3 linked regions of the Coturnix japonica genome follow. The protein of the gene in region 2 interacts with the protein of the main gene of each other region in a biochemical or structural test. Links are inferred from orthologs where the notes say so. Each region holds a gene or a part of one and is shown on either strand. Other genes may lie near its edges.

Evidence for each region.
Region 1: the proteins of UBA6 (region 2) and UBE2G2 form a complex in vitro, tested with the Homo sapiens proteins (2 studies listed by BioGRID, with this or other methods). The link is inferred for Coturnix japonica from reciprocal best matches to the Homo sapiens genes UBA6 and UBE2G2.
Region 3: the proteins of UBA6 (region 2) and UBE2T form a complex in vitro, tested with the Homo sapiens proteins (2 studies listed by BioGRID, with this or other methods). The link is inferred for Coturnix japonica from reciprocal best matches to the Homo sapiens genes UBA6 and UBE2T.

The regions. Positions count from the first base shown.
Region 1 is NC_029524.1:3,986,476-3,990,491, reverse strand, and holds the start of UBE2G2 (ubiquitin-conjugating enzyme E2 G2), read right to left. Parts: upstream 2,820-4,016; 5' UTR 2,738-2,819; coding exon 2,695-2,737; intron 1-2,694. Other genes in the region: small ubiquitin-related modifier 3, read right to left, coding at 3,576-3,638. UniProt on the Homo sapiens protein: Accepts ubiquitin from the E1 complex and catalyzes its covalent attachment to other proteins. In vitro catalyzes 'Lys-48'-linked polyubiquitination. Involved in endoplasmic reticulum-associated degradation (ERAD).
Region 2 is NC_029519.1:46,073,965-46,077,490, forward strand, and holds part of UBA6 (ubiquitin-like modifier-activating enzyme 6), read right to left. Parts: intron 3,078-3,526; coding exon 2,972-3,077; intron 2,308-2,971; coding exon 2,218-2,307; intron 2,113-2,217; coding exon 2,032-2,112; intron 1,467-2,031; coding exon 1,338-1,466; intron 492-1,337; coding exon 440-491; intron 344-439; coding exon 280-343; intron 1-279. UniProt on the Homo sapiens protein: Activates ubiquitin by first adenylating its C-terminal glycine residue with ATP, and thereafter linking this residue to the side chain of a cysteine residue in E1, yielding a ubiquitin-E1 thioester and free AMP.
Region 3 is NC_029541.1:1,472,091-1,476,323, forward strand, and holds UBE2T (ubiquitin-conjugating enzyme E2 T), read left to right. Parts: upstream 1-1,408; 5' UTR 1,409-1,528; intron 1,529-1,649; exon of another isoform or gene 1,650-1,681; intron 1,682-2,072; 5' UTR 2,073-2,092; coding exon 2,093-2,201; intron 2,202-2,404; coding exon 2,405-2,474; intron 2,475-2,695; coding exon 2,696-2,801; intron 2,802-3,186; coding exon 3,187-3,285; intron 3,286-3,478; exon of another isoform or gene 3,479-3,502; coding exon 3,503-3,586; exon of another isoform or gene 3,587-3,915; coding exon 3,916-4,032; 3' UTR 4,033-4,205; downstream 4,206-4,233. UniProt on the Homo sapiens protein: Accepts ubiquitin from the E1 complex and catalyzes its covalent attachment to other proteins. Catalyzes monoubiquitination. Involved in mitomycin-C (MMC)-induced DNA repair.

The sequences.
Region 1 (4,016 bases), on a different chromosome or scaffold from region 2:
TTAAGCCGAGACCAAATGAAAGGGAAAAGCTGGCACAACCAAAGTGCAGCACTTCTGCTGGAAACATGGGACAGATTTGGGTGCACACGGGCTCAGCGCCTCCGTTTCCATTTCACTTCCCCACCCCTGCTGCTCTGCGTGATGCAGACCTGCCTTATCCACACCTCCTGCTTTTAACCCTGCGCTGCTCCTATTGATTCCTGACAGAGTAACAACCCACTACTCGGTTCCCTCTTTGCTTTTCTGTAAGCTACAAGAGACCAAACACTGCACGTTCTGTGCACCTACAGCTTCAACTGAGTATTTCCCAAGTAACCCATTTTAGATTTAAAACATACAAGATACCTTCAAGAGCATGCAGCAAGGAAATGGTAAAGGCAGAAGCAGCAGGTTTCCTTAAGTCTTGCAAGCATAAGCTCCTAGTGAGATGTTAATTTTAGGTTTTAATACTATTAAACATTCTAAATTTAGATTCTAACAAATATATCCTCCAGAAGGAAAAGTAAGAATCAGCAATCTGGTAAACAAAATGTCACCACCAGAAAGGCACCGACTGCCACACATCTCCATCACAACCAGAAACACACAGAGGGAAGAGGAAAGAAAGAAGGAAGAAAACTGAGAGCAGAGCAAATTCTGTAAGGCTGCAGCTTGGCAACCTGCTGGGAAGCACCAGGGAGGAGCTGGGCAGTCTGGTGGTGAGGCTGGGCAAGAGCACCCACTAAATACACGACACCAGCCGTGAAGACAACACAGGGCCGTGCAGGTGACCAGGAGAACTGGAAGCTCTGCTTTACTTCAGGAATTCAGGTCTGTAGGAGCACTGTGCCCTCAGTCACAGCGTGTTGCTTTTGCCTTTCACAACGCTCTATCCGACTACTGTTGGGAAAGTATAAAGGAGAATAGTAAACAAGATGTTATCTCGGGTCATGTCAAATGCTGCATCAGGACACGATGCAAGGAAGATCCACGCAATGTCTGCCTGTAGCATTAAGTAACATCCTTTTCAATGTTATTTAGTTAATATCAGTTTTCTCTTAGCAATTCATTTGCCTATAGCATTTTAGTAAGATCATGGAGCTTCCCAACCATAACGTAGCAGAACTATTTGAGGGACAGAGGGGACTTACACAGGAGAGCAGACAGGAGCAGAGACAAGTCCTGCTACGGCTGGTTTTCAGGTCAGTGCTTTGGGATGACAACAGAGAAAAGCACAGTGACAAGGACACTACATCAGCAGGTCAGATGGTGAATGGTGAATCAGATGGGTTAGAGCTCATGCCCTGCAGGATGCCCCAAGATCGAGCATAGGGTTTTGTCTGAAAACACGTACCCAGAAATACTCTGTCTGGTACAGGCTGAAGCCATCCACCAAAGCAAAGTGAGAACCCGCTCCACATCCCTGCAGAGCAATGAGCATGGAGCAGCCAGTCATCTCCAGCCAGACTCCCGGCTCCCTCTGGCGGGGTGTGAGCAGCAGCGGCTCCCCCGGCCTTGCTGTCTGCAAACCACAGCTCATCCAGCTTTTACACAAAGAGTTTACTCCCTTCGAAAGGGCTGACAATAGCAGGACACGGGGAAATGGTTTTAAGTTAAAAGAGGGAAGATTTAGGTTGGATGTTAGGGGGAAGTTCTTTACTAGGAGAGTGGTTAGGCCCTGGAACAGGTTGCCCAGGGAGGTTGTGGATGCCCCATCCTTGGAGGTGTTCAAGACCAGGTTGGACGGGGCCCTGGGCAACCTGATCTAGTAAAGGTGTATGTTTGGTGGCCCCCTGCCAGGCAGGGGGTTGGAACTACATGATCCTTGAGCTCCCTTCCAACCCGGGACATTCTGTGATTCTGTGAGGCCATTCCTCATTAAGTTGCATTTAAATGCTCCCATCTTTTTGAGTCGTTTTGGGTTTTGTGTTCAGATGTCAGTAAGTTGTGCCCACTGCCATGGAGCTGTGCATGGAGCTGTGCATGGAGCTGTACACGGAGCTGTACACGGAGCTGTACATGGAGCTGTGCATGGAGCTGTACATGGAGCTGCTGCATGGAGCTGTACATGGAGCTTGTACATGGAGCTGTACATGGAGCTGTGCATGGGAGCTGTACCATGCGAGCTGTGCATGAGCGTGCACGGAGCTGTGGCACGGAAGCTGTGCAACGGAGCTGTACATGGAGCTGTGTACGGAGGTGTGCATGGAGCTGTACATGGAGCTGTGCATGGAGCTGTGCATGGAGCTGTACATGGAGCTGTGCATGGAGCTGTACACGGAGCTGTGCATGGAGCTGTGCATGGAGCTGTACATGGAGCTGTACATGGAGCTGTACATGGAGCTGTACACGGAGCTGTGCACGGAGCTGTACATGGAGCTGTACATGGAGCTGTACACGGAGCTGTGCATGGAGCTGTGCATGGAGCTGTACACGGAGCTGTGCATGGAGCTGTACATGGAGCTGTACACGGAGCTGTGTCACACCCTGTCGGTGCCCCCTCCCCAGCACAGCTCCATGCCGTTCCCTCGGGCCCTGTCGCTGTCACACCGAGCTGAGCTCAGCGCTGCCCATCTGCTCCCTATGAGCTGCAGCTGCCACGAGGCCTCCGCTCAGCTCCTGTGCTCTGGGCCGAGCCCCCCCACCCCCACCCCAAACACGCTCAGCCCCACACCCAGCCGTCCCCATAGTCCCCAGCCCCGCCCCGCTACTCACGTTTATACTCGGCCATCAGCCTCTTTAACGCCGTACCCGCCATAGCGCGGCCCGCAGCGCCCCGGCCCCGCGCCGCTTCCGGGCGGGCTGGAGGGGAGGAAGTAGATAGGGGGCGCGCTAGCACTCCGCCTCTATGGTAAAGGGGGGGGGGGGGGGGCTGAGTCCTCCCAGCGCATGCGCAGTAGCACCAGCGAGTTGTGGGCGGGCCCTCTCAGCCCAGCTGCTCTGCTCACCCCACCCCCCCCCTTCCATTCAGGACACTTCTCGTTTGTGCATTAAAAAAGTATATTTCAGACAACTTTATCAAATCATGACAAAGCACATGTCAATCTGCAATCTTCCAAACTGTCTATACGGAGCATTGCGTCTCGCACGTACAGACCTCGTGTCGTGGGCTTCACGTTTCCCAGCGACTTCAATCAGCGTCTTCTTCCTCCTCTTTTAAAACAATGAGACTCATTAAGCTTGAGATCGGCATGAAAATAGACTTATTTACAAGGGTAGGATGGAACAGAGGGGCAGGGCTGACAGCCAGGAATGCACTCCATGTCCTCAAACACGGACAGGGTTATTTAGGCCACAGGTTTGAAAGGGAATAAACCAGGAAACAGCAGACAGACAGACAACGTGTAGCACTGAATCGGAACTCAAAAATCAACTGGGCCCAATTAAAGATAAGAGATGAATCCCTGCAGATACTGTGTCGACTTGCACACGCAGTACGTCAAAGACAACAAGCGATTTTGGGTAAATGTCCTCTAAGGTTTCCGAGAATCCCGTGTGATCGGCGTGTTCATTTGTTCACTATTTGATAGCAAATCCAAGGACAGATGAGAGCGAGGTGCGATGAGGAGCCTCTGTGCTCCAAAGGATGCCATGTCTTAGCACAGCCCGCCCGTCTGCTGCTGGAACACATCGATAGTGTCTTCGTCTTCCATCTCCAGCTGTGAGGGTGATACGGAGAACACGAGTTCACAACCATAAACTTATAATAGAGTTACACAGGTTTTGAGATCTCTATTTCAAAGCAGACTCAGAACCCAGCCATCTAAAAGCAACCAACTCAGATGTGTTTCTTCTGTTCCTCACCTCAGGCCTCGTCAATGCAAGAAAACCCTTAAATTCTGAGCGCTGACTGAGCTGGCAGCAGCTACAGCACCCAGCTTTAGTCCTGGCTGTATCCAGACATGGGACAGAGCTGAAGAGCTCAGCACTCCCTCCAGGTCCTGCCCACAGCAGCACACAGGTGCCAGTGTGTTTGGCACCATCTGTTCATGCACATCTCCCACCCCAGCCAGCATAAAACACATATGGAAGAGACT
Region 2 (3,526 bases):
CTGCAGTCAAGACACAGTAAACAGAAAGTGTTGTTCTAACCTTTCTCATGCTAGACAGATATTGTCAGAACTTCCCATAGCACCCCCTCTGATTTCATGTTAGTTAGGGTTAAATTACCGGCAGTGAAAGTTTAAGATGGTTCACACAGTCTGACACTGTATAAGTACCCATTACATTAATACCCATCAAATATCAGTCCAACTTGCAGTGCTATAATGCTACTGGCTCTACAATGGGGTAGCTTCACAGGGTATTTTAAAATGCAGAGTAATACTTACAAAGGATCATTAAAATCAAACTTCACTGGGAAAGGCGGCCTCTTTGGTGACTGCCAGAACAAACCTGGTTAGAAGACAGACTTAAGATGAAGTCCTAGAACAGCAACACATGATACGTGCCGTGAATTCACAGGAGGCACACAGAGGTATTTGTACTTACTTCCATCTTTTAATCGTGTATCAAGAGGAAATGAATGAAGAAGTTGAAGAGCCTAGAAAGAAAGACAGAGTGGCTTTAGCAGTTTGTCAGACCGACACAACATCACAGAATCAAAAAACCCCTTTTTAGTAATAACATGAAATCTTTATACATCTTTCAAGGCTCTCCAGTGTTAACCACAAGTCATTTAAAGAGTTAAGAAAACCTAAGGTACCTGAATCAGGACAGAGAGCTTAAAGACACAAGTACATGTAGACAGAATGATTTAATCATCCATGGGATGAAGATGACACTGTCACCACGTGTGAGATGGTAGATGGGATTTCACCAGTCCCAGCTCCAAGCAGAATACTAAATACAATAAGCAGAGTGTTTCCCCAACCTTATTACACCTACAGGATTCTGGAATACAAATTCATAACTGGGAAAGCAACATTTTCAAAACCTAATAACTGTCATCACAACACAGATGTGGTATGTTTACTAATATACACTTCTTTATCACAGAATTCCTCCCATCCTCCCCCAAACACATTTGAAGCAACACTGTGGATCACACTTGAATAATGCCTGGCCCATATTTCAGTCAATCTTTCTGTGATAGCTTTAAGAAAAATCAAGGATACAAATACGAAGAGCTGAGTAACACAAAGTTTAGTGGGAGATAAAGAGAGGTATTATAGAGCTATTAGGATGTTAACAGAGCAGTCTAAAAAGAAAAAAACTCCTCCAAAAAAACTCTACAGTAAGAAGAGTTTTGCAGCAGATTTAGATTTGAAGCAAAGCTTGTTATTAATGGAGAAGGAAACAAGTGCAAAGACTTGGAAAACTATTTATTCAGGGATACCACATCCCTGTCAGTCCACAGGTGCCCCACTTCCACAGCCTGGCTACCTACCTTGTGGCTAAAATACTTCTCAAACTTTACTCTTGCTAGTTCCACACACTGAGTCCAATTTCGGGGTCTTCTGCTGAGTGTTTTAATAACATGAAAGCAGCCTTCTAAACTCTCCCCTGATTTTATCCTCTAGAAACAGAAGGAAATAAATGAATATTTAAAAAGGTTAGACGTAAAAGTCTAACAGATCTTATTGAGTTGCAGGTAAAAGGACATGGCAGGTTGCTTTGTGAACATTAACCTTCGTGTGATCCCTTCCCTCCGAGTTTTCCACAGAGCTGTTGTCTACTTGTTCTACTTCCACCTTGCCTGAATGACCAATAGCCATCATAGAGAAAGGCAGATAAGTGTTTAATCTATTAGGTAGTCAAGTTCACTCAGAAGTACATCTTCATTTTTTCCCAGCTGTCTGCACATCTGTATGACACTGACTGTTCTTGCTAACAATCCCTCAGGTTTTAATTCCTGTATCACAGACAGAATCCCTGAGCTAGAGAAACAGGCCACACACAAGACAAGCTCTTACTAACAGCAGTAAGATCCCATGAAACATCAACAAATGCCTTGGCTAAATAAGCCTTCAGAAAATCTGAACAATGTCAGCAAACAAACCAAACCGTACTTAACATAAATGGAAACAAAATCCTTAAAGCATTAGTTCAAACTCTGTTATATCCAGGCAACATTCTCCTACCTGTAAAACTTCTTCTGCAGATGGATAGGTCTGCCAAAACTTGTTGAACAATGAAGGCTTGTGAGAAAACAAACTTTCAAACTAGAAAATACAAAGAACAATAGGGCATTGAACACTAAGTACCTCAAATACCTCACCTTTTCAAATAAACAGTCATTTCAAAAGCATGTAAACTTATTTCCTTACCTTATCTCTTGCCCACTGTATTGTATGTTCAATGGCAGCTGGGAAAGACTTCAAGGTGCAAAAAGGTATTTCCTCTTCTGGTGGATCCCGCTATATTTAAGGGGAATTGTATGTAAGGGCAGACTTAAAGTTGGTTATCAATCACAGGACCAAGAACTTAAAGACTACGCAACTTTCCCACACCACTATTACAAAATACAAGGAAGCTTTTTTTAAGCCTAAACAAAGAAGCATAAAACAAATTTTGTTTTACAAAGAAGAATCTGAACACAGAAAGTAAAACTCAACCCTAATGTACAAGCAGCAGAAGTAATTGCCAGCCAGTTTATCCAGGGTGTGCAGCTCACACTTATGCACACTTGCAAGGTAAAAACCACCCTATCTCGCAAAGCCAGAAACATTTTTCCATCAACTATAGTAAAGCTGTAACGATTGTCAACATCAGCACTACATGGCAAATGGCACAACCTTCATAGGAACCCAAGTCGTGGAAAACTGCAAGAGTTTGAGGTTAACTTCCTCCATTTACAAAGAGCTGATACGTATCTTTGTACAAACATGCAGACTAATGCCTGCTACTGAGACTCGCGTTTCTCCTGCCTGCCTTTGGAGATGGTAATCACCAAAAACAGAACAAACAGGCAGAAAATAGCTCAAAGAAAGAAAACCACAAACACAAAATCAGCTTGCATTCTTACTTTGAAGGGAGCTTTAGGGGACTAGCTGCAGAAGTTGATAGCCATGAACTACTTACGTGACTATTATACGACTCTGTGAGATGAGGCACAACAACTTCTGTATGTCCTTTTGTTCCCATGGTTCCAGAGTCTAACAGAGGACGCAAGTTTGCTACACAACGACTGATATGGAAAGACACAGATAATGAGAATACAGAGTTATCTCTACATCTGCTTTGCAGACATCACCAGAGCACAACCCAAATGGACACAAGGACCTTTCAGAACAGTGGAAAGCTTAAACTCAAGAAAAGAACAGGTTAAATAAGAAGAGTCACTTCAAGTTAGATCAGGGCACCATAAACCAAAGCCAATCAATAATTCATTTTATAAATAGGGATTTTCACATTGAAATTTAAGTACACATTCCCATGCATAAGTAATTCAATCTGAAGACTGCGACAGCATTCTCCATCTCCAACAGCCCTTGACAGCTATTTATTTCCAAGTCAGTCAGAAGACCTCTGTCACATGAAGAGGCAGAGAGGTTTTTGAAATTTATTTATTTATTTATTTTAAATGGAATCATTTGAGTTGGAAGGGACCATTAAAAATCAGCTAGTCCAGCCTCC
Region 3 (4,233 bases), on a different chromosome or scaffold from region 2:
CACAGGATGAAGCAATTACCTCTAACCTAAACCTACGCCCTCCTAAACAGCCACGGTGGTGACGCAGCTCTGCCAACCCCACACAGTGCCCACCACCCCAAAGCCCCCACAGCTGTAACAGCCCACTGAGCACCCCATAGACCCACAGCCACCAACTCACAGGCACTGAGGAGCTCACGGTGCACACCAGGAAGGAGCCCAGCACCGACTGCATGCCATGGAAGAACAGGAAAAGCAGAGTGCCAATGCCTGGGGTGCGCCCAGCCGGCACGTGGGGCAGAGAATGACGTGCAAAGCACAGAGCAGGGTGTCTGCAAGGGCTGTGCTGAGCACCACGGCCCCAACTTCAGGTTTGGGGTGGGTATAAGGAGAAATTCCTCCCTACCCTGGTAGGGTGTGGGGAGGGTGTAGGGACCTGGTGCTGTTATGGGCTGCCCAATGGGATCACCATCCCTGCAGGGGCTCCAGGAAGGTGGGGATGTTGTGCTGAGGAATGTGGAGCTGGTATGATGGGATGGGTTGGGAAACTCACGTGTTTGTGCAGCGATTATTGCTCATATATTGCCCTCTCACGGCCAGAAGAGCAAAACCACCAATTAAACACACATCACTAATTACTATAGAATAACCCTAAGCTGGAAGGGACCCAATAGGGATCACCGAGACGTTATTGCTGATCGTGTTCTCCTTCCTGGGAGCTTTTTAGAGGGCTGATATCCCCCCCCCATCGAATCGCGTTTCTACACCCCATTGGCTGCTCCGAAAGTAATGCCTCCTATTTATTATCGCGGCTATTCCAACAGCTGCAAAGAGCTCTCAGTCACACGCGCTGACAGAGCGACTTCACAGCTACAGAACTGCGTTTCCTTTGGTGCTGTACGCACATGAAGCCATAAAAACGTTGTGTCTGAGGACCTGGGGCTGCTGTCACCCCATGGAACCAATGCACCGCCCCCGGTTACACCGCGTTACTTCCCCGCTCCGGAGCCCTGCTCACCTCCCTCCTCCTCCTCCTCGGGCCCCGCTGTGCCCTGGGGTGACACGAAGAGCGACTCGACTTTAGGCAACGGGGCCGCTTATGCAACACACTGCGGGGGGGGGACACGGGGGGCCGGTAGAGCTGTGCCCGCCCTGCTGAGCTCCCATGGAGGCGGGGGGCGGGGTGGGACAGGGCCCGGCCCCTCTAACCCCTCTAACCCCATCCAACCCCCTCTAACCCCATCCAACCCCCTTTAACTCCATCCAACCCCTCTAACCCCCTCTGACCCCATCCCATCCCATCCCGTTCCGGAGCCCCCCGGTTGTGGGCGGAGTCTCCGTAAGCCACGCCCACATGGCGCGCTTTCCCCGCCACTGGGATGGGGGCGTGGCTTATTTCCCGCCAGCTGATCTCAGCCAATCAGCGCGCGCCGCCCCTTTCGGATTCGAAATGCCGCCGCTGGGTGGGAGGAGCTGAGCGGCGTCCAATCAGCGCTCGTATATTCGCTAGGGGGCGGGGCTAGAGGGCAGCGTCTCCTCCCGTTGCTGGGTGGGCGGCGGGGCTGGGGGGGAGAGAGGACTAAGGGGGGGGGGCCAGCTTGGAAGGGGGGGCAGGGCTTACTGGGGGGGGGGTGCGGTCACTGAGGTAGGCCCTGGTATATATATATATCTATGGGGTTGAAGTCAACAGGCCCCCATTGAAGTGAGTGGGGAGGCATAAGGGCCCTGCCCTATGGGGGGGGGGCCCTGGCCCTATGGGGGGATGCCCTGCCCTATGGGGGGGGGGTCCCATTGATCCCTATGGGGGGGGGGGGCGGTCCCTGCCCCTATGAGGGAGGGGAGGTCCCTGCCCTATGGGGGGAGGTCCTGCCGTATGGGGGTGGATGCCCTGCCCTATGGGGGGGTGGATGCCCTGCCCTATGGGGGGGTGGATGCCCTGCCCTATGGGGGGGTGGATGCCCTGCCAATGGGGGGGTGGATGCCCTGCCCTATGGGGGGGGGGATGCCCTGCCCTATGGGGGGGGGGATGCCCTGCCCTATGGGGGGGCCCTTAAGGCCATGTCCCAACCCAGCCCTTCCTATGGTTCCTTAAGGGCAGCCTCATACCCGCAGCATGCAGAGAGCATCCCGGCTGAGCAGGGAGCTGGCATTGCTGAGCACGGAGCCGCCGCCCGGTATCAGCTGCTGGCAGAATGGAGAGAGAATGGACGAGCTGCGGGCACGTAGGTGTTGGGGTTGGTGGGGGGCTTTGGGGGGGGATGGGGCATTGCATTGGGTTGGTACACGCTGTGCAGTGGGGTTGGATATGGGGGGGGTCCTCTCTAGCTGTAAGGAGTGTTACAGAGTGTTATAGATGGGATGGTTGGCTGAATTCCTATCATTCTGAATGCAGTATTTATGCTTGTGATATTGTTTGTTTGCAAAGAGATCATAGGAGCTCCAGAGACACCCTATGAGAAAGGGATATTCGACCTGGAGGTGGTTGTGCCTGAAAGGTGAGTGAGTAATGATTCTCTCTAATGCCAAGTGAATGCATTGATGTGAGGTCTTTCCTTCAGCCTCCCCCCCCCTGTAATTGTTATCCCTGGCTGAATGGATTCCATGTGTTGGATGTGTGATGATGGGATGTCACTTCGATACCTGCTGTATGGAAGGATTAATGGCATAACTGGGGTATGAATATCATGCTGTGTTTCTTAATGCTGATCTCTTCAAGGTACCCGTTTGAGCCCCCAAAGATTCGCTTTCTGACCCCTATTTATCATCCTAACATCGACTCTGCTGGAAGGATTTGTCTGGATGTTCTTAAGTTACCACCAAAGGTAAGATAGCGCTGCTTGGGCACAGTAAATGAGCCTGAGGAGGATAATGAGCTCCTTATCTTTTTCTTGTAAAAGCCTGATTGAATGTCTCTTTGCTACTGACTTATTTACACAGGAGAGCGGCTGTGGAGTTTTTGTGTGGCCTCTCCTTTGTTTAGGGATTAGAACATGACCTTCTTTGCTCTGTATAAGCTTCCAAGGCTTTAAGGATTGCGGTGGGAAGGCAGCCCTCTGAAAATGGGCCGGCACAGCCTGTGGTTCCATCAGTTCCCTCTGAGAGGCCTCAGCCTGTGTGTTTTCTATGGGGCTCTGAGTGCTCCGAGCTTCCTCCAGGCATCCTAATGGTCTTCCTCTCAGCTGCTTCTCTCCCCCTCTCCTCCTGCAGGGCACATGGAGGCCTTCCCTCAACATCTCCACACTACTGACCTCCATACAGCTGCTGATGGCAGAGCCCAACCCTGATGACCCCCTCATGGCAGACATAGTATGTGGGCTCCTTTAAGGCTTCAGGGGCTGTGGGTGTGGGGTGGAGCGTTGCCTTTGCTCAAGCAAACTCAAGCGAGCAACAGAATGGTGTTGAGTGACATGTGTGTAGCAGTTTGGGTCTGGGATCAGGAATCCTTCTGCCAGGGCTGCAAGAGGAGTTAATAACCCCCCAGTGTTCAGTCTGTTAATACTAAAGTCAAATCTTTCTCTTTTAGTCCTCGGAGTACAAGTACAACAAGCAGCAGTTCTTAATAAATGCCAAAGAGTGGACTGAGAAGTACGCGAGCCAACAGAAGAGGGTAAGAAATGGGCCTTCCTGTTGCAGCTGTGTGAATATTCCTCATCTAATTCCCCTTCCATGGCCACAGAGGGGGAGAAGAGGTGGTGTGGGGCAGCAACAATTGCTCCCTCCATGTAAATGAGGCATTGAATTGCAGTGCTCTCCCAGGAGGTCTGTAGGTTGAGCAGGACTGATAGAACCCCAAGATACTCAACCTTCATTCCGCCTCAGCTCTGTTCCTAAGTGCACATTCTGCTGTGCCTCATGCTCAGACAGGACTTAGCACAGCAGTGCTAATGGCTCCTAAAACTAAATGATTCACAGCTGTTACTTCTTATTTCTTTGGAGGCTTTGGAGGAGAAAACAAACCAGAGTGAAAGCAAAGCCACCAATGGATCTGCCATGCAGAAAAGAAAAGGGAGCTCTATCAGCAAGAAGGAGAAGCAGCCTCGCATGGGCTCCTAAGTGAGTTTAGTTCCTGATGTGGCTGCCAGCTTTGCTTTCATTGTGTCCTCTTTAAGTGGGTATAATCAAATAGTTTAATATGGAATAGCAGCAGGGTTTATTGTTTCTGTTTCCTAGCAGTTGGTTCGTTTGGTTTTTGAGATGTTATAGAAAATAAAGCTTTAATTTGCTTCTCTTTCTGGTTTGTAAGGCTTCCAGAGA